Linked DNA regions of Kluyveromyces lactis. Each later gene encodes a partner of the first gene's protein in a complex. Links are inferred from orthologs where the notes say so. Each region holds a gene or a part of one and is shown in the gene's direction. Other genes may lie near its edges.

Region 1 (3,406 bases):
GGTGCAAATAATTTCAACCTTGATGATGTCATCTTGTCCGCTAGATTCTACGGTACCGCTCTGTTGATTGCCAGATTATTTAGAGACATATGGGATAAAGATATTTTCCAACTCGATCCCCATGTAAAAATTAATCCGGATAATTCAGTGATGAAGAGTTCAATTAAAGGTGATAATATTATTACAAAAATCGTTGTATCAAGAGGTGATATCGAATATTATCTATCCTCAGTAATGATTTTAAACGAGTTCTTCCAATCATATGGTAATTCAATTACAACAATCACTAATATTTCTCCAATTAATGGAGAAAAGGTGGTGGATAAAGGAGAAGATGTTGCGCATCAGGCAGAAAATGTTGCTATGAACGCAGTTATCAAACTCCTTCAATCCATAAAGGAGTCACTTTCATTTTTGAACGTACTATTCGAAGAGAGTGAAGTAGATGGTTACGAAGGGCAATACTTAGCATTTGTTGACATTATGAAGTACTTGAATTTCGATATTCAATACGACTTAAGCAAGTTGAAATTCAAGGATATTTTCAATCCCAATGAACAAACCAAAAATTTAATAAGAGAGATTCTCTCCTCAATCATCAACAGAAGTATTACAAAAGGTGGATCTATTGAATACATCGCTACTGCACTTCAAGAACGCTGTGGATCGTTTTGTTCCACCGGTGATGTTCTTGGCTTTAGAGCTGTCGAGCACTTGAGAAAAGCAAAAGAAATAGGACTCAGAGATCAAGAAACACTCAACTATCACCTAACCAATGCAGCAAAGTTATTTGAAAGAATAGTTGATGATGTGTCTTTAGATAAGATAAAAGAGGCTGTAGGTATCATGTTGGAACTTAATTACTACCCAAAAACCGTCGAATTTTTGTTGAATATTGCCAATGCGATGGACAAGGGTAAATTGGCACTTCAATATGTTGCAGATGGATCTTTGGAACACGATGAAAGGAAAAAATACTACAATGCTAGAGTTTCGATCTATGAAATTGTGTTCGAAACTTTAATCAAAGTTGACCAACTAGCTGCTCTGCCTGAAAATGTTAACAATCAAGATATTCAAAAAACCCGCGATGAGGTTTACAACGTTACTTTAAAATATAACGACAAATTATTCCATTATCAAATGTATGATTGGTTGGTACAGCAAAAGTCTGAAGAAAAGCTTCTTCAGCTAGACTCAGATTTTATTCTACCATACTTAGAAGAAAAAGCAGCGAAATCCCTAGAAATTTCCAATCTTCTTTGGGTTTACCAATCCAAAAGATCGCATTTCTTGGAAGCAGCTCAAATTCTGTATTCATTAGCTATTTCGGATTTCGATATTCCTCTACAAAACAGAATTGAGTACTTGTCAAGAGCTAACGTTTTCTGTAATGGAGTCTCTCCGCCAAGCCAAAGGCAAGCCATGATTCAATTATCTGGCATGATAAAAGAAGTTGTCGATGTAGCAAGCATTCAAGATGAAATTGTCCGTGCTCTCAAGGATGACCTCAGGATTGATTCGACTGTCAGAAATGAAGCCTTGCAACAACTTGAAGGCAAAATTTTGACCGTGACTGAACTTTATAATGACTTTGCCGCACCATTGAGTTATTATGAAATTTGTCTGCTCATTTTCAAAGTCAGTGACTTTAGAAATCATGAGGAAATCATATCGAAATGGGAAGAGCTTTTCAGTTCTTTCAAGGAACATTTATCAGAGAACAATGCTACGGATGAACTGGAAAAAAGCACTACTTTCATTAGTCTAGCATCATCAACAGTGATTCGTGTTGGTAAGAATGTACGTACCAGTGAATTTGTGTTCCCAGTTGTTGATTTATTCCCACACATCTGTAGCCTAATATATGAGAACCTTCCAAAAGAACACATCAAAGCAGGTTCAATTGCATCTATTTTCATCCAAGCTGGCGTCTCATACGACCGAATGTACCATGTTCTCAAAGATTTAATTGAAACAACTACCAGCTCCAACGATATTTACGAACAAGAGATGGTTTGGCTGATTAAAGAATGGTATCACTCTGACAGAAAATTGAGAGATTTGATACCACTAGAAGAAATTCGTTCCTTCGACAAGTATTCAATTGAAAATGACCCATTGGAAAATTACAAAAAGCGCACAGGTGATAGTGTGTTTTGAGTTACTCTAACCTTTCAGCGAGATGGTAAAAAAAAGAACAGCTTTAGTTTAAAACGTCTGTTGTGGTGTTTATTTCCCTTTGTATACTATATTGATAAATAACATTTTCACCCCAATCTTAATAAACAAAACAACTAATATCAATATTGCTTTCTTATGATGTTGCGATAAGTCTTTGGTTATGGAAAGAATATATTAAACCGAATTTCGACCTGCAATCTGCTGAAGAGGTATATAAAATTGTATATTTATGAAGAACCTCTTTCGAAGTGAAAAAAAAAAGCCTAGAGATTTCATTATGGAACGGCAACATATGACTTCATCAGCAGGTATTATAAGCAACGCTTTGTCCAGATCTAGGGAACTGTTGCAGCTAGAAATATGAGAATAGGATAAATAGAAGGGAAAACATATCAGAAAGATTTCAAATACTGCTTCGGTATATATCTAGAGCAAAAGGTGTGGAAGAATAGAAAATAATAGCATCGTAGACATTCGACAATGCATTTCATCTTATCATCACTTCAATATTGTTATTCAGGTTCTTTCTTTTAGATCATCTTTTCAACAATATCTGGTTCAAAATTGTGCATTAGTTACTTGTTTTGCATCAAGCAGAACAACCTAATGGAATCATAAAAGAAAACTTAAAGGGAAGAAAGTTTAACTTAATCTCATTCCTCAGAAAACAGGGCATCGTCACCAAAAGTGTTTTCACTCGAATAGGATACATAAAGGAACCCGTCCTTATCCTTGTGTTGTTGGTAAATAGAAGACATTAAAGCTGCTGTTGGAGGTAAAGTATCATTGACAAAGATGAAAATAGCCTTTTCAGCAGGTAGCTTGATTCTCTTTCTAATTACATAAACAAATTGGCCAACAGTCAAATCTCCTGGCACCAAATATTTGCGTTTATCAATGTCTGGAATATCCGATTTGCCACCTCTTTCACAGATCACTGGAATACGGTTATGGAACTTTTGCACTATCCTTTCAGATTCAGCCTTTCTCTTTTCAAATGGGAACTCAGATTTGAATGCAGATTTCATTGCGTTTTAAAACTCTCTCCTATAATACGTAACACCGATAAAAATAATCAAACTCTCTTGAAATATTCTCCTGTCTCTATTTCAAACTAATAACCCGAAAAGATGTTTGTAACTTAACTTTCAAAAGTCTAGCTGATTTGTTCCAACTCTTGAATCGTGTTGTGTCTCTTTTTATCCGTCTTTCTGGTTCTTTC
Region 2 (5,527 bases), on another chromosome or scaffold:
CGGCGCAAATGAGTCGCCTCCAATTGTCAATCATTACGTGGTCTCTTTTTTAATTAATTTTCTTTCGGTTTTTGTGTAGAGCTCTCAAGAGTGCCGGAGTGATAGATTAAGACAAACTGAAATAGGGAAGACTACAAAGCACATGGGGTGTAGACCCAAACTATCAATAATTGCAACATGATAGTCCAATTAACGTGTTCTATACACTTCCATCAATAACCTGTATATAGCCATTTTTATTTAGCCTCAAATGATTGATATCTGTATGCAGTATGTACAATCTACAAGATATATGCTCGAGAGCAAGTGCGTAAAGAATCTCAAAGTGAGTTAGTCCGACATCCGCTCTTAAAACGACACCTCAGGCAAAAAACTGAGCTACTCTCCAGTTGCGTATAGCAGTCCCCGCTACCCCACTATAGACGTGCGTTCCCACTGTATTAAATCTCTCGTCCCCTATAATTTTCACTTGGGAAGCCTTGTGCTTTCCAATGTTTACATTTTCTGGCTACACGGTATTTTTGTTGAAAACTGTGAAAAATCGAGAAAAGTTCACATTGTCATTATTTGTATTTATAAAATCGATATTATATATAAATGAAAGAGATCGAGATATTTTTTTTTGGGAAATTTGCGAAAAATCTTGGATGCACACCGAATTAAAATGGTGTCTGTCTCTTGCTTTTGTGTTATGTAGTAGTTCCTTCTTGGTTTTAGCGGTTGACTGAACTCTAATTGATTCACATTTAGATCAATCGCACTTCCGAAAGCTTGCTTCCGCCCTCTAACAAAAAATAACTTCAAAGATTTACAATGGCTCCTCCATTCTTTTCTGATATTTCCAAGGACATCAATGGGTTGTTGAACAAGGAATTCTTCCACGCTACCCCAGCTTCTGTTGACGTTAAGACCACTGCTCCAAACGGTGTTGCTTTCACTGTTAAGGGTAAAACTTCTCCAAAAGATGGCTCAATTGCTGCTAACGTTGAAGTTAAGGCCTCTGACAAGTCTACTGGTTTGACTTTCACCCAAGGTTGGAACAACGCCAACACTTTGGACACCAAGATCGAATTGGCTGAATTGACTCCAGGCTTGAAGACTGAATTGATCACTTCTGGTGTTCCAGGTGTCTCTAAGGCTGCTAAGTTGAACGTTAACTTTGTTCAACCTTTGTTTGCTGCTAGAGGTTTCTTCGATTTGTTGAAGGGTCCATCCTTCGTCGGTGACTTGACCTTGGCTCACGAAGGTTTCGTTGGTGGTGCTGAAGTTGGTTATGACATCTCTGCTGGTGCCGTCTCCCGTTACGCTTTGGCTTTGGGTTACAACGCTTCTGGTGCTTATTCCGTTGGTTTGTCCGTCAACAACGCTCAATTGATCACCGCTTCCTTCTTCCAAAAGGTTTCCCCAATCTTGCAAGTCGGTGCTAAGGCTGCTTTGAACCCTCAAGCTGGCTCTAATGTCAACATTGAATTCGCTTCCAAGTACGCTTTGGACGCCGTTTCTCAAGTTAAGGCTAAGGTTGCTGACTCCGGTATCGTCGCCTTGTCCTACCAACAAATATTGAGACCAGGTGTCACTCTAGGTATTGGTGCTTCTTTCGACGCTTTGAAGTTGGCTGAACCAGTCCACAAGTTGGGTTGGTCTCTATCGTTCGCTGCTTAAATGCATACTTAGTAATTTTACACAAGTGTTAAAAAGAAGTGTTACTTTTTTCTAAGTTTATGTTATTTTGCTTTGTCCAATGGATCACCAGCCTAGGTTATCAATTTTGAAATGATTCACATTCAACTAAAGTATCATTCTTCTTGGCGTTCCATTTGATACCGATATATATATATATTGCCTTTCATTTTGTTCGCTTTTTTTTCAGAACAACAATATCCGCTTTGTTTTCATTACAGATATGGCCTCAATTACAATGTTAACGCCTACTTCTTTCGAAGATACTTACCTAACTAAATACGTATTCTTTAATGACCATCTAAAAAATTTTATATCTCAAAACATTCATGTCATAGTAAAGACAATAAAACATGAACACTAACCTCATACTGATTTCCGGATCACGTGATTGATAATTTCCTTCTTTTTGGAACTTTGTTTACTTCAAAGCTATCATCAAAAAGCTTCAAACCTGTACAAGCACTGAACATTGCAACTGATGCCCATTGAAATTCAAGGTTTACAAATTAATAAGCAGCTGAGGTTTATATTAATACACTAACGGATTGAAACTACTACTGTCGGCACAGATAAAAGAACACATACAGAATCAATGACGTCCTCTGTGGTTGATGCGTTGAATGTTGAAACTACTGAGAGCTTGGGATTCAAGTTTTTATTCTCTAAACAAATTGTTCCAGGCTTCAATGAGGATTTGCCATTCTCAAAACTGGCTAATGCTTCCATACATCCGTTGAAAAAATTACTAGCTGTTGCTTCTTCCAAGACTGTGTCTGTATATGATCTGCAATCTGTCCGTGATGAGTCCTTCATCACTCTAAATACGAAAGAGTTCACGGCGAAAGTAGTGGGCGTTTTTTTTGTGGCAGAGAGTTTGGCTACGGTCCTAGAAGATGGTTCAGTATGGGTTACCGAATTGGACCAATTCGCCTGGGAACAATACTGGGACGGTAATGGTGTCAATGAAGTCATTTGTTCTGTAATTTTCCAAGGGAATGTACTTCTTGCGAGTAACGCTAATGTCGTGTTTAAAATATCCTTATCGCAAAAGCATTCTTCCGAACAGTTACATTCAATCACAGGTTGCATCGCAATTGACACTTTGAAACATCAACTTTATGTTTTACACAAAAATGGTTCTATAGCTGTACTGGATGAACAGTTTAACGTCACATCCTCTATTGAAAAGCCATCTCTCGATGAACCTAACGAACCGTTGTCCATAAACGCTTTGTCAGAAAGCAGTTTACTCGTATCGTACGGCGAACCGGTCGATGCCTCGGAAGAAGATATCATGTACGATTTAACCGTATATTTTGTCAATGTCAATACTAAATCTTTTACTCCTTCCATGGATATCGCGCCTCCCTATTCAACAGTCAAAAGAAATCCTTCATACTACTCTCAAACATTGTATCAACTCGCTCAGCAGCTACCACATCTATTCGTTATAGGATCATCGTGTGCATCAGAGCTATCGATTGCCACACCGAACGTGATGTATAAACCGGACCAAGATGCTGCTTGTGCAATTCTTCCAATCAACCCTGAAACAGATAATGATACACAACCCATTGGGATGGCCCTAGATGTATTTTCCAGTGGTACTGTGTATGAGCCTTGTTCCGGAGTAGAGGCTGCTGACAATCTACCGATATTATATGTCCTCACCAATCTTGGGGAACTATTTTGTTGGGCTTTATTCCATCACTCTGCTTTACAAAACTCGAGTTTCACGCTAGAACCAACCAAAACTCAGTATGTACAGTCTTTCGAAATCTTATCTCATAAAATAGAAAGTGGTTCTTCTTCAATGGAAAAGGAAAAAGTTACTTTAATTTCTCCCCAAGACACTAAGAACACAATAACTGAAGTAAGAAAGGTTCCTGAACAATCGTCATTTTTTGAAACTACAAATTCCTTCGCTAAAGGTTTTTCGTTCACTCCGAAGAACATGACGGATAGTACAAATGCTGAGTCTGAGGGCTCTCAAAATCCTTTGCTGTCATCTGGTTCATCTCCTGCATTTGGAAAACCTGCCTTTGGCCAAGCAACATTTGGCCAAGTAACATCTAGCCAAGCAACACCTGGCCAATCAGCATTCGGTCAACCAGCATTCGGTCTACCAACTTTCGGCAAACCTGTATCTAGTCAACCAACGTCTGGACAATCAGCATTCGGTCAACCAGCATTCGGGGAGCCAGCGTTTGGGAAACCGGCATCTAGTCAACCAACATCTGGACAATCAGCAGTCGGTCAACCAGCATTCGGTCAACCAGCATTCGGGGAGCCAGCGTTTGGGAAACCGGCATCTAGTCAACCAACATCTGGACAATCAGCATTCGGCCAAGCAGCATTCGGTCCACCAACTTTCGGTAAACCTGCATCTAGTCAACCAACGTCTGGACAACCAGCATTCGGACAACCAGCATTCGGCCAACCTGTATCTGACCAATCGGCGCCCAGTAAACCAGCGTTTGGCAAACCAACATTTGGAAGTACATCATTTGGTACCCAATCTCAAACTAATACCACTTCACCCTTGTCCGAAGAGGCAGAGACGTCATCTGTCTTTGGAACGCCAAGTTTTGGCTCCACATCTTTCGGAATACAAGGAGCTAATGTTACCTCTCCATTCGGAACCAACACAAAAATTTCATCAGAGTCGTCTTTTGGAAAATCGCTCTTTGGAACTTCTCAGTTTGGCAGCGACAGCGCTGTTACCAACCCTGCACCGAATTCATTCGCTACATCTGCGAAATTGTCTTCACCATTTTCTGCCTTTGCTACAGACCAAAAGACCATAAATCCATTCGAAACTCAGACTTCTGATCCATTCGGCCACTTGAATTCTAAAAAAGAAGACACTAAGTCGTTCAACTTTACTGGTTTCGGTGAATCTATATCAGAAGCTAACCACAGTTTGCCATCCGTCACTCAAGATTCTTTGAATTCGAAAGAAGTCAGCGATTCGACGATCGAAAACGATCAATCTGAAGTGCCTAGTCCAGCTAATGATTCGAGCATTTCAGAAGATCAAGACGATATCGAATCTAACATTGTATCCTCTACCGATGAAAGTGATTCCTTATACGGAGAGGACAGGGAAATATATGATAATGATAGATCTGATATACACATCGAAGCCTCTTCAAAACCTTCTTCAACTGTTTTGAACTCAAACAGTGACATAGAAGAGGATGAAGCTGAGCAAAGCAACGAAGAACAAGCAAAAGTGGAGACCAAAGATGGGCAAGAAGAAGAAGAAGAAGAAGAAGAAGAAGAAGAAGAAGAAGAAGAAGAAGAAGAAGAAGAAGAAGAAGAAGAAGAAGAAGGAGAAGAAGAAGAAGAAAAGGAGGAGGGAGAGGAAGAGGAGAAGGAGCAGCAAGCGCAAGATGAAGAACAAGTGAAAGATGATACTAAAGATGTATCAAAGGAGAAAAAGCAAGAAGAAGACAAAGGAAATGATAAGCAGGTCAAAGGTGATCTGCTCACTGAAGGATCTTTCCCATCGGCGGAGAGCACAACCCCTGTTGCTGCGTCTTACGTTACTGAGGAAGATGACACCAGATCGTCTGTTGCTTCTTTTACCGATAGGATAAAGAAAGCGGCTAACCTCTCAACGGAGAATATTGCCAATCCATTCATGAAATCCACAGCAGTTGAAAACAAAGATTCCTCACCTTTTTCGGGCTTCACAAATTCCTTATCCAAAGATACAGGAAAGGCTCCCGCATTTTCCTTTGCCAATCTCAAGAAGGATGGTTCTGAAATTACCTCACCACTGTCTAATGTCAATTCTATTAGCAACGAAAGTGTTATGAGAGAGCCAGAACCAGAATTA
Region 3 (5,290 bases), about 140 kb from region 1:
ACAATCAAGGAATCTCTTAAAGAGTCTTCGAGAGCAGATTGCATCCAACGAACCCCCCAGGTTGATAAAAGAGTATTTTGAGGCAGATACTGATACCCGTTATGCTATTAACGAAAAGTTAGAATTAGTAACCATAATGGCTAGATTACAATCTGAAAAAGTCTGGTTTGAGTGGAGATCACAACATTTGAAAGGAATTAAAACAGTCCTGGAAGAAAATATAGCTATCTTGGTGGATGAAAATGCCCAGATCATGAAATACATGAATGAAATAAATGACGTGAAAATAAGAGTTAGTGACATCAAACAGGTGTTAATGAAAGAACTTGATGTTCTTCGGCAGCACAACGATGTTTTTAGTAACAAGAAAGAGAACATAACGACTCTCCTGAAAGTGAACAAATTGAAAGGAGACTTGAGGGAGAACATGCTAAAGGTGTCAGACTTGAACCAGCTGACCACTAAAAAAGATCAACTTACCCAAAAAATACAAGATGCAAAATTGGAGATGAGTAAAGTGAACGAAGAGATTGCTCAACTTCGACAGGACTTGAAACAAAGCAAAGTTTGCACAGAATATGATGTGGCAAAGCTTAAACTAGTCCATCAGCTTTACCAAAGCATTTCTGGTATAAAGTTCAGAAAGTTAGTTGGTCCAGTCCTATCTGTATCATTACATGACGACAAAGTTATTGTGACAGCTGATCTTTCAAAAATTGATCAACCGTCATGTATTTCATTCAGTATTAGAGAAGAACGAATAGACCAATTTGAAAGAGAATTTATAAACTGTTGGATCAACTCTTGCCAGCGAACCTTCATAAATGGACTACAGTGCATATCAAGTTTGCAACGTCAACTGATAGATCTTTCAATTGTCATTTCAGAATTCAAAAAATTAAAACTCGTATTCCCGGCAACCGTCAATGCCCCATCACAGAATTCTCAGATCAAATATGTCACATTCCAGCATTTGGACTATAAATATCATTGCAAAGTAGCCCTTTCTTTGCCTATGGAAAGGTTTATTGATTTGATATGTCACTCTAAAAATGCGACCATCAATGTTAATATTATCTATGGCGAAGAAAAAACAGCAAGAAATCTAACGTCTAATCTCATAAAGAAATATGAAAAGGTATTTAAATGGCTCTCCAATTGTAATATAGCTCTTTGATATGGATATCCGAGCTTTTGTAGCGCAAGTTTTAGGCATTACGCAGTATATAGTTTCGTACGATATTTCTTTAAATTTCTCTCGAATGGCAATATTCCAAAAAATTGTTATTCTATAACATTTAAACAGTAAGATGAGTGTAAACAAAACACCTTTTGAACTCTAACAAGTGCACTACTTGGCTATCATTGATCGCAGAGCTTCTAAAAACCAATTCCATAGCTGGTGTTCATTGCTGCAGACGAAATTTCTCAGTTTTTTGTTACTGCTGTCATTTTTGAATCTGTACAGTTTAAACATCATCATCATAAATTCAACAACAAGTTGATTATGTTTGGTAATAACAAAGCGCCTGGTTCGTTATTCGGCAACGCGAACACCTCAACACCTACAACTTCTACACCAGCGAACAATGGGGTTTTGAATGGAAAACCCAATACTGGCACATTGTTTAGTGCTAATACACTCTCCACGCCGAGCCCTGGAAACCCAACAGGATTTGGCAATGCTCAGAACAACAACAACAAGCCTGGGTTGAATCTTTTTGGAAACAACAATGCTTCCCAGAATACACCACAGACGAATTCTCTATTCCAGCCTAATAACGCCGCTGCATCAACGCCCAACACATCATTATTTTCTGGCCCAGGGTCGAATGCCCAGCAGAACAATGGTGCTGGCAAGCTATTCGGAAATTCTGGTGGACAACAGACAGCTACTGGTATCTCATTCGGAAATAACCCCAGTGCGACAACAAACAATACGTTCCAATCAAACGGATTAAATACGCAACAGAGTGGTGGTTTATTTGGTAATAAATCAAACAATGGTGGGTCACTTTTCGGAAATACTCCATCGCAAACTAATAGTCTATTTTCTAATAATACCACGAACACGGCGTCAACAGTCCCAAAGACTTCACTGTTTGGAAATTCATCAACACAAGGTTCAGGGAGCTTATTCTCGTCCAGCAAACCAACTACAAATTCAACAGGCTTGTTCAATGTTTCTCAACTACAACAGCCACAGCAACCTGGCCAACCCCCAACGAACAACCCATACGGTTTGCAATTAAGTCCAAATCCTGTGCTGTCAATGCCAGAATCTATTACTACATCCCTGAGTAACGAGAGAAAGCCTGTCTCAGACTCGAAACAAAATAGAAAATTTTCAACTGCATCATCAGTGATCAGCAACAATATATTACCTCCCACAGGCAATTCAACACTGATAGGGAAGCTAACTTCAAGACTTAAGAATTTGAAGAGCAGAGAAACAACACATGGTTTGTTCTCCCCATCAAATAAAAACTTAGCCCAACAGGATACTTTCTCGGCACTTTCAAGAGATGAGAGTAAGGAAAAAGGGAAGAATATTAACAATAAGACAAACTCACTGGCTTCTTATTTTAACCAGGACGTTTCAAGCATGAAAAAATTAACCATTGATACAGACAGAAGCGCTGCCAAAAAGATGAAACTCTTTAACGGTCACTCTTCCGCTACCATAATGAAAGATATGGACGAGAAAGATCATAAGATTAGTATACCAAGGAATGATAAACTTCTTTTTTCAGCACATCCTTCAGAAACTAGTCCAACAGAGCCAACTTCGGAAGTCTGTCTGGATGAAGAACACAAAATAACGAATAAAGCAACTGACTATTGGTGCTCACCTACTATCGAACAATTAGAGCAACTTACGGAAAACCAGCTCACGGTTGTGCCCAATTTTGTGATTGGTCGCAAAAACTTTGGTTCCATCAGTTTTGACTATGAAGTTGACTTAACTGCATTTATGGATGATTTTGAAGAACTATTCGGAAGAACAATAATTTTTAATGAGAATAGAACCGTGGAAGTCTATCCTGATACCGAAAATAAACCGGATGTTGGTTATGGTGTCAATGTACCTGCTACAATAACTTTGGAAAATGTTTATCCGATCGATAAAAAAACAAAAGAACCCATTAAAGACAACTCGAAAATTGCTGAAGTTCAATATTTTGTCAAGCGTTTAAGGAATATGAAAGAAATGGAATTCATTTCATATAACCCATTTGGTGGAATTTGGACTTTTAGAGTTAAACATTTCAGTGTTTGGGGAATGGTCAATGAAGAAGATATGGAGGTGGATGCTGAAGAAGCAGAAAGAATAAACGCCGAGGAAATAAGAGACAGACCTCTGGCCTTTCCCAAGCGTCGCCACAGTGTGAAGAAGTCTAGCACGTCCCTTGAAGCGGAGGTACCAAGCAATGCAGACCTCACAGCAGCAGAGGCTCTTGCAATGGAGAAAGAAGTACTAGATTTGGTTCCAGTACTATCCGACTCTGTTGACCAAGACATGTCACTTATTATCAAGGAAAAACCTTACGAACCTTCTGATTTAGACGAAGATGATTTGAATATCCTCGAGGCTGCACCTAAACTTGTTACATCATCGAACTGGTTGCAACAATTACAATTAGCAGGTACTTCCAAACAGTCTGTGTATTCCAAGCCACTTTTACTCAAAAACACGCAAGGTAATTCTTTGGACGATATCTTGTTCCCTTCATTTAAGAAAGATTTATTGACATACCAATCTGTTAAAAGAGAAAGAAGAATCAACTCACATATGTGGTTTGCGAAGTTTAATATTAACGGGCAATTATTGCTCAAAGATCCATCACAGTTGTCAGGCTGTAAGCAGATCGTGTTTCAGTCCAACTTGCCAATAAATAAATCTTCTTTTGACAATGTGTTCGCCTCTTATCTGAACACATCCATAGTCAACTCCAGACCAAATGGTTATCCTCTTGTTGGGAAATGTTCCTTACAGTTCGATAATCTTGCTTCTGCATATTCTGATGTCCCAAATGAAGACAAAATATTGAAGTTAGCATCCATTTTGTTTGATCCTCTTTCCCTTCCATACGCTGTCAATTCCCCAGAAGTTGAAAAAGTTCTTATTAAAAAACAACGGCATGCAAAGCTCTGTGGATGGATAGTCGATGAAACAAGGGCTGAGATTGATTCTATGCTATCCACTGCTTCTGATATTCAGAAAATACTTCTTTTCCTCTCTGTCAACGACATTGTAAATGCTTCAAAGACGGCTATAATTTCCAAAAACAAACATTTATCTGTTTTGATAACGTTACTGGGGTCCAATGATCCAATTGTTCGTGAAATCGCGCAACTACAGTTAACTAAATGGAAATCTTTAGGCTCTATAGTGGATCCAACAGTCATTAGTATCTATCAACTACTCACTGGCAATCCTTTCGCTTCTACTGCGTTGGTAAATGAGAGTAACAAGTTTTCGCGGTTAGTGAATTTAGGTTTACAAGTATATTATGGAGATATCGATTCATTGACTCTAGAAGATTTGATTATGAATGCTATATCAAATCCATTTGTTGATACATCGTCTGTTTCAACTTTTGAAAACTTGTCAATGAATATTATGAAGTTATTTGCTTGCCCAACTATCCCAGTTGAGCAACTTTTAGATGAATTGAGATCGCATTCGGAGATATTCGATGTTCGGCTCTGTTGGTTCTTTACGCATATGTTACAAAGAGAAGATATTACTGAACATTTGCGTGACAGAATCACGTTAGAGTTCATTGATCAACTAAAGCTTGACAGAATGCATAAGGAAGCTTTATTCGTGGCATGTTTCATTGCCGATGATGCTATCGCCAAGAATACCATAGATTTGTTGCTAAGCTCAGAAATTTTGTATTTCACCTCCAATGATATTAAACCAATTTTGGAAAGATTACAGATTTCAGCTCCAATAATCCATCGTCATCTGGCACTATACGAGAAGTACTCTGGCGACCATCTTTCCGAAGTAAGTAATTTGTTGAAAGCAGGCGACTTTAAGGAGGCGGAACTAGTCACCATTACTACCGTAGGTCCAAAGTTAATAATCAATGCCAAATGGAATAACGATTACTTATCAGTTTTGGAAACACTGTTGCAAAGGTTTCCTTCGCACACCATCCCAACTTGGGAAAAAGGATTGGGTGTATATGAAAAGTACATCAAGCTCTCACTACACAACTCCCTCGATCCTAATATCATCCATCAGCTTATCAACACATTACCCAACCTATGCAAAGAC
Region 4 (4,488 bases), on another chromosome or scaffold:
ACCAATTCTTTATCCTCAAGAGGGAAAATTTCGAAATCGGCATCCTGTAATTCAGAAGTGACCTTCCGTTGAACGGTTTTCAATAACCATGGTTTTACGGCGCCAATCAATTTCTTTTGTTGTTTCATCAACAACTTTTTACCCATCCTAGTACGTTTACGCTCACCTTCCAAGGAAATATTTTCAAGTTGTTGATTGAACCATTCAACGTCAATATCTTTCTTCTCAAAGTTAAGGTATTCAAAATCGGACAAGTACTTCAACCAAATGGAAAATCTTGCCAAATTTATCTTACCTTGTTCATTAATGTAACCATCCATATGTTGGAGAGCTTCTTTAAAAGTTTGTAATAGCACAGGGAATGCACCTTTTTTCAAATGCAAATCGGGCAAATTTGGTAAGAAATCATTACCGATGGTAAATAATACAAAGATGAAATCATCTAATACTCTTTCAAAGTCGTATTCAAACTGCACAGAATCTGTTATTTCTTCGAACTCTAATGCCAAATATTCTCTCAAGATAGACAAATGCAACAAGAAGAAGTTCTGTGTTTCTAGAGTTTTCACAGAAGACGAACGTTTACCAAAAGTAACTTCTTCTCTTAATAAACAAAAGTGGTGATCATGGGTGGATAAACCTAGGATGATCAAATCAGCATCTAACCCGTAGATACAATGTCTTGTATTTGGATTGTAATCCTCTTGTGCTCTAATTGCTCTGATGTAATCCATGATCTTATGTTCACCTTCACCAGGAACCTCATGCCCGGAGAAAATAACCTTCACGTTCTGCCATCTGGTATCGTTGGTGATCTTGTCATGGATGAAATATTTCAAATTCTCGGTTAATTTTGCCATAAATTCTGTTCCTGGGGTAATAGCGTTGGAATCAAATGGCTCTCCCTTAGGCAACTCGTCACCATTTTCAATGGCCTTCTGCAAAGCCTTTTCGGCATCCATGGCAGTTCTGAATCTACGAGCTCTTTGTTGGTTCATCTTTGCTCTTGGGGCCACACCATCGATTGCCATATAAAATGTCTGTTTTGGTTTAATAGTATGGAAAAGATGATCAATATAACTGAAAATTTTGGAATAAACTTCTTCCTCTGATAGTCTTGAATTCACCTCGCTACCATCACCATGCGTACAATTATGCAAAATAGAATTCATATCCAAGTACAAATTGTCGAACTCTGGAATCTGTGATCCATCGATCAATTGAGAAATTTGAGGCCATCTCTCAGAGATGAAATGAAAGAATTTTGGAATACCCATTTTTAGTTAAGCCACAAACCGTAATTAATTGAACACTTTCTGAGGTTTGCTTTACTGACTTTTTTCCTCCAACAATAGAAAAGATCAACAACAACTGGGATTGGATAGTACCAGTAGTATACGTTGCCGAACAATGAGTAACCACTTTTAGTGAATTGTTATAATATACCCTGATATGGATGAAAGACCCTGAAAGTACATTAACCAAAGCTACTGTTTAGTAACATAATCGTTAAGGTAATTTGGTAATTCTTTCCAATGTTCAATCGGAATATTTTTCTTGGTGGTGGCAAAATTTTTTGAGACGAGGTTTATGGGTTACCCGGATCCATAAGTTCAAGCTTTTTTTTCTTGTTTTATACTCTTTGATGGAAGAGTTGAAAACATTTTGAATATGGAAACTGAGAAAGTAAACAGATGAGGTTAAAAAGAAAGATGGAGAGAGCAGAATTGAGACACCAATTGATACTGAACAGTAAGTTGAATTAACTGAATTTACGGCGTGTAAATATCTAATACTCTTATTACTGATAGAAACGAAATGTTTGGCCGTTCTTCTTCTACAGGTCCTCCAGTAGGACCAAGCACAGGAGGAGGATTATTTGGGAATACGGGCAACCAGCAAAGCACTAGCGGTGGTCTTTTTGGTAATAACAATGCCACATCAGGTAACACTGGAGGAGGGTTATTTGGAAACAATAACAATACAGCGACACAGACTGGCGGAGGATTATTTGGCAGTAATCCAGCAGGCACCAACAACAATACGAACCAAACCGCAGGAGGACTTTTCGGAAGTTCTAATAATACAGCCACTGGCTCCACAGGTGGCCTATTTGGTAACTCAGGAGCCGGGTCTGGCGGAGGCTTATTCGGGAATAAGTCAGCACAACCACAGACCACTGGTTTTGGAAGCTCTGGAACTGGAGGAGGATTATTTGGATCCAAACCAGCACAACCACAGACTACCGGTTTCGGAGGCTCTGCAACTGGTGGAGGATTGTTTGGATCCAAACCAACTACCGGAGGCCCATTCGGAAATCAACAACAGCAATCCCAACAATCTGGTTTAGGAATGTTTGGACAAACACAAAATCAATTTCAACAGCCACCACAACAACAGATACAACAGACTCAACAGAGTGCCATTAATTTCATTAACCAATTAGCTATCACGCCGATGACCAAGATATCGGAGCTTCCGATTCAAATTCGTCAAGAAATCGAACAATTGGACCAATTCATTAGAACGCAAGTGTCTTTATCCAAACATCTTGAAGCTGATCTACAAGATCAAACTGAACTATTGGATTCAATCCCTCGTGACATCAAGTATCTACAAAAATTGCATTTCAACGCAACAAGATCACTATCATCAGATTTGAAACGAATCGATGCCATCAAGACACTAGTGGATAAAGATGTTAAACAATTGGAAAATTTTGCTATAATGTTGCAACAACTAGTCAGTAAGGGATTCAAAATATCAAACGTTGAGATAGATAAGTTCTTCCAGGAAAAATTAATCACATACAAACACAAATTAAATGACTACAACGACACTCTAAGCAATATTGACGACGCAGTGTCAGGTCTAGAGAATGATCTCTTTGGGAACGATTCATCCGAAGATGATGATACCAAGGTCGGTGTTAACATTATCGTCAGCGTTCTAATCGAAGAGTTCAAACTATTCATGGATACAGCTGAAAGAATAGCAGAACTGCATCAGAAGTGTAAAGAAATAATAGTTAAATAGTCGATATTATTCTTTTAATACTATAAAAAAAGAAAGCGTTCAAGAACATATTACCTATTGATGCAGATCACTAACTCCTGCACATGCACTGCACCTGCACCGCATCTGCCACTTGTCTCTTCGCAGTCTTCTCTTCTCAGGCTCCCTTTATCTTCCCTTCCTTATTTAGGTCAATGAGTTGTGAAAAAAGGGAATTTGATACGACAAATATAAAAGGAATAAGGATTAAAAAATGGTTAACAAGGAGTAACAGTTTTCCCGGAAACGAAAATGTGAAACAAAGAACAAAGGAAAGGCGTCCTGGTTTTGTGATTATACTCAAGAAATATATATAGGACTGATAAGAATTTTAGAACGTTGCTGGCAACTAACTATCATTATTGGAATATCAGAGACATATTAAGTGTGACATTTTAGTATTAATTCTGTCAGTATAAACTTATTGTAGATCAAGCTTCAGGCGTAAAATCAAGGAGCTAGGAGATTTTTTTTTTGATTAAAGCGAAGCGATGGCTGAAGTAAAAGATAGATGTACATCAGTGGATGGAAATGACACTTGGGGGGTCGTTGGTGGTGTGGACGGTACATATTCCATCAGGGATCTTGACGCTGGTGAAATGGACGATATTTTATCGGTGACAAGCAGCGACTTAGAGGATTCCGCAGTGTTGCAGAATAAGAAAGGGAGCGTTAATCATAGTAACAATACTACGTCGTTATCCACGCCACTGGATTCATTATCCAACGTTGCGCCTGCAAAGACAACAGCAAGGAGCAATACATGGACAGCGCGCTTGACGAAACTTCAATCCGTTATTCTTGGAATTTCGTTGGTGGCCGGTCTCATCAACATGGGCCTCTTGACCGTTTTCATCCGTGATATTAACAGTTTTACTAAAAACAACGAGTTAGAGTGTAGTTCACTAGCTTTCAAGGACAGATTGGCTTGTCAATTTGATGCATACATGGGCCATAGGGCCCATGCATACGAAGCAGCATACGTGAAGAAAACGCCACTTCCATCCACTTTAGCATCATATTACCCTAGCTTCCCTTCTCTTGAGCAATATTACGAAGTATGTCAGAAGAAGTTGAAATTTACTTATGCAGCAACTTCTAACTGGGTCAGTACAACGGTGAGGCGTGAAAACTTCGAAAGCGTTAAGGAATGGACGAAGAATGCGAAGGAAACAGCAGAAGACCGGATCACTGCTTTCTACTCGCTAACTAAACAGAGATTCGATAGCTACAAGGAGACGCAATGGCCCCGTCAACGACAATCACTATTCAAGTTCAGAGTAAATTTACAAGCTGCTATCCATAGGTACCAGAGAAAAATGAGGAAAATGTACCCACTTGAATTCCCACATTTGCGCAAGTTTTCCGTGCCTAGGATTTGGTACAAATCCTCTGATAAGCTTCGCCACCAATACCATAAAATACTTGATCTCT

The links.
Region 2: NUP170 (region 1) and NUP159 share a complex: the UniProt entries of both Saccharomyces cerevisiae proteins name them as parts of the nuclear pore complex. The link is inferred for Kluyveromyces lactis from reciprocal best matches to the Saccharomyces cerevisiae genes NUP170 and NUP159.
Region 3: NUP170 (region 1) and NUP145 share a complex: the UniProt entries of both Saccharomyces cerevisiae proteins name them as parts of the nuclear pore complex. The link is inferred for Kluyveromyces lactis from reciprocal best matches to the Saccharomyces cerevisiae genes NUP170 and NUP145.
Region 4: NUP170 (region 1) and NUP49 share a complex: the UniProt entries of both Saccharomyces cerevisiae proteins name them as parts of the nuclear pore complex. The link is inferred for Kluyveromyces lactis from reciprocal best matches to the Saccharomyces cerevisiae genes NUP170 and NUP49.

Annotation. Positions count from the first base shown.
Region 1 is NC_006041.1:1,829,503-1,832,908, reverse strand, and holds the end of NUP170 (Nup170p), read left to right. Parts: coding exon 1-2,163; downstream 2,164-3,406. Other genes in the region: ubiquitin-like protein ATG8, read right to left, coding at 2,838-3,212. UniProt on the Saccharomyces cerevisiae protein: Functions as a component of the nuclear pore complex (NPC).
Region 2 is NC_006042.1:329,976-335,502, reverse strand, and holds the start of NUP159 (FG-nucleoporin NUP159), read left to right. Parts: upstream 1-2,275; coding exon 2,276-5,527. Other genes in the region: porin POR1, read left to right, coding at 814-1,662. UniProt on the Saccharomyces cerevisiae protein: Functions as a component of the nuclear pore complex (NPC).
Region 3 is NC_006041.1:1,686,040-1,691,329, forward strand, and holds the start of NUP145 (nucleocytoplasmic transporter NUP145), read left to right. Parts: upstream 1-1,507; coding exon 1,508-5,290. Other genes in the region: kinetochore-microtubule binding complex subunit SPC105, read left to right, coding at 1-1,177. UniProt on the Saccharomyces cerevisiae protein: Functions as a component of the nuclear pore complex (NPC).
Region 4 is NC_006042.1:2,088,024-2,092,511, reverse strand, and holds NUP49 (FG-nucleoporin NUP49), read left to right. Parts: upstream 1-1,818; coding exon 1,819-3,036; downstream 3,037-4,488. Other genes in the region: chromatin-binding exonuclease XRN1, read right to left, coding at 1-1,277; KLLA0_F22341g (uncharacterized protein), read left to right, coding at 3,546-4,488. UniProt on the Saccharomyces cerevisiae protein: Functions as a component of the nuclear pore complex (NPC).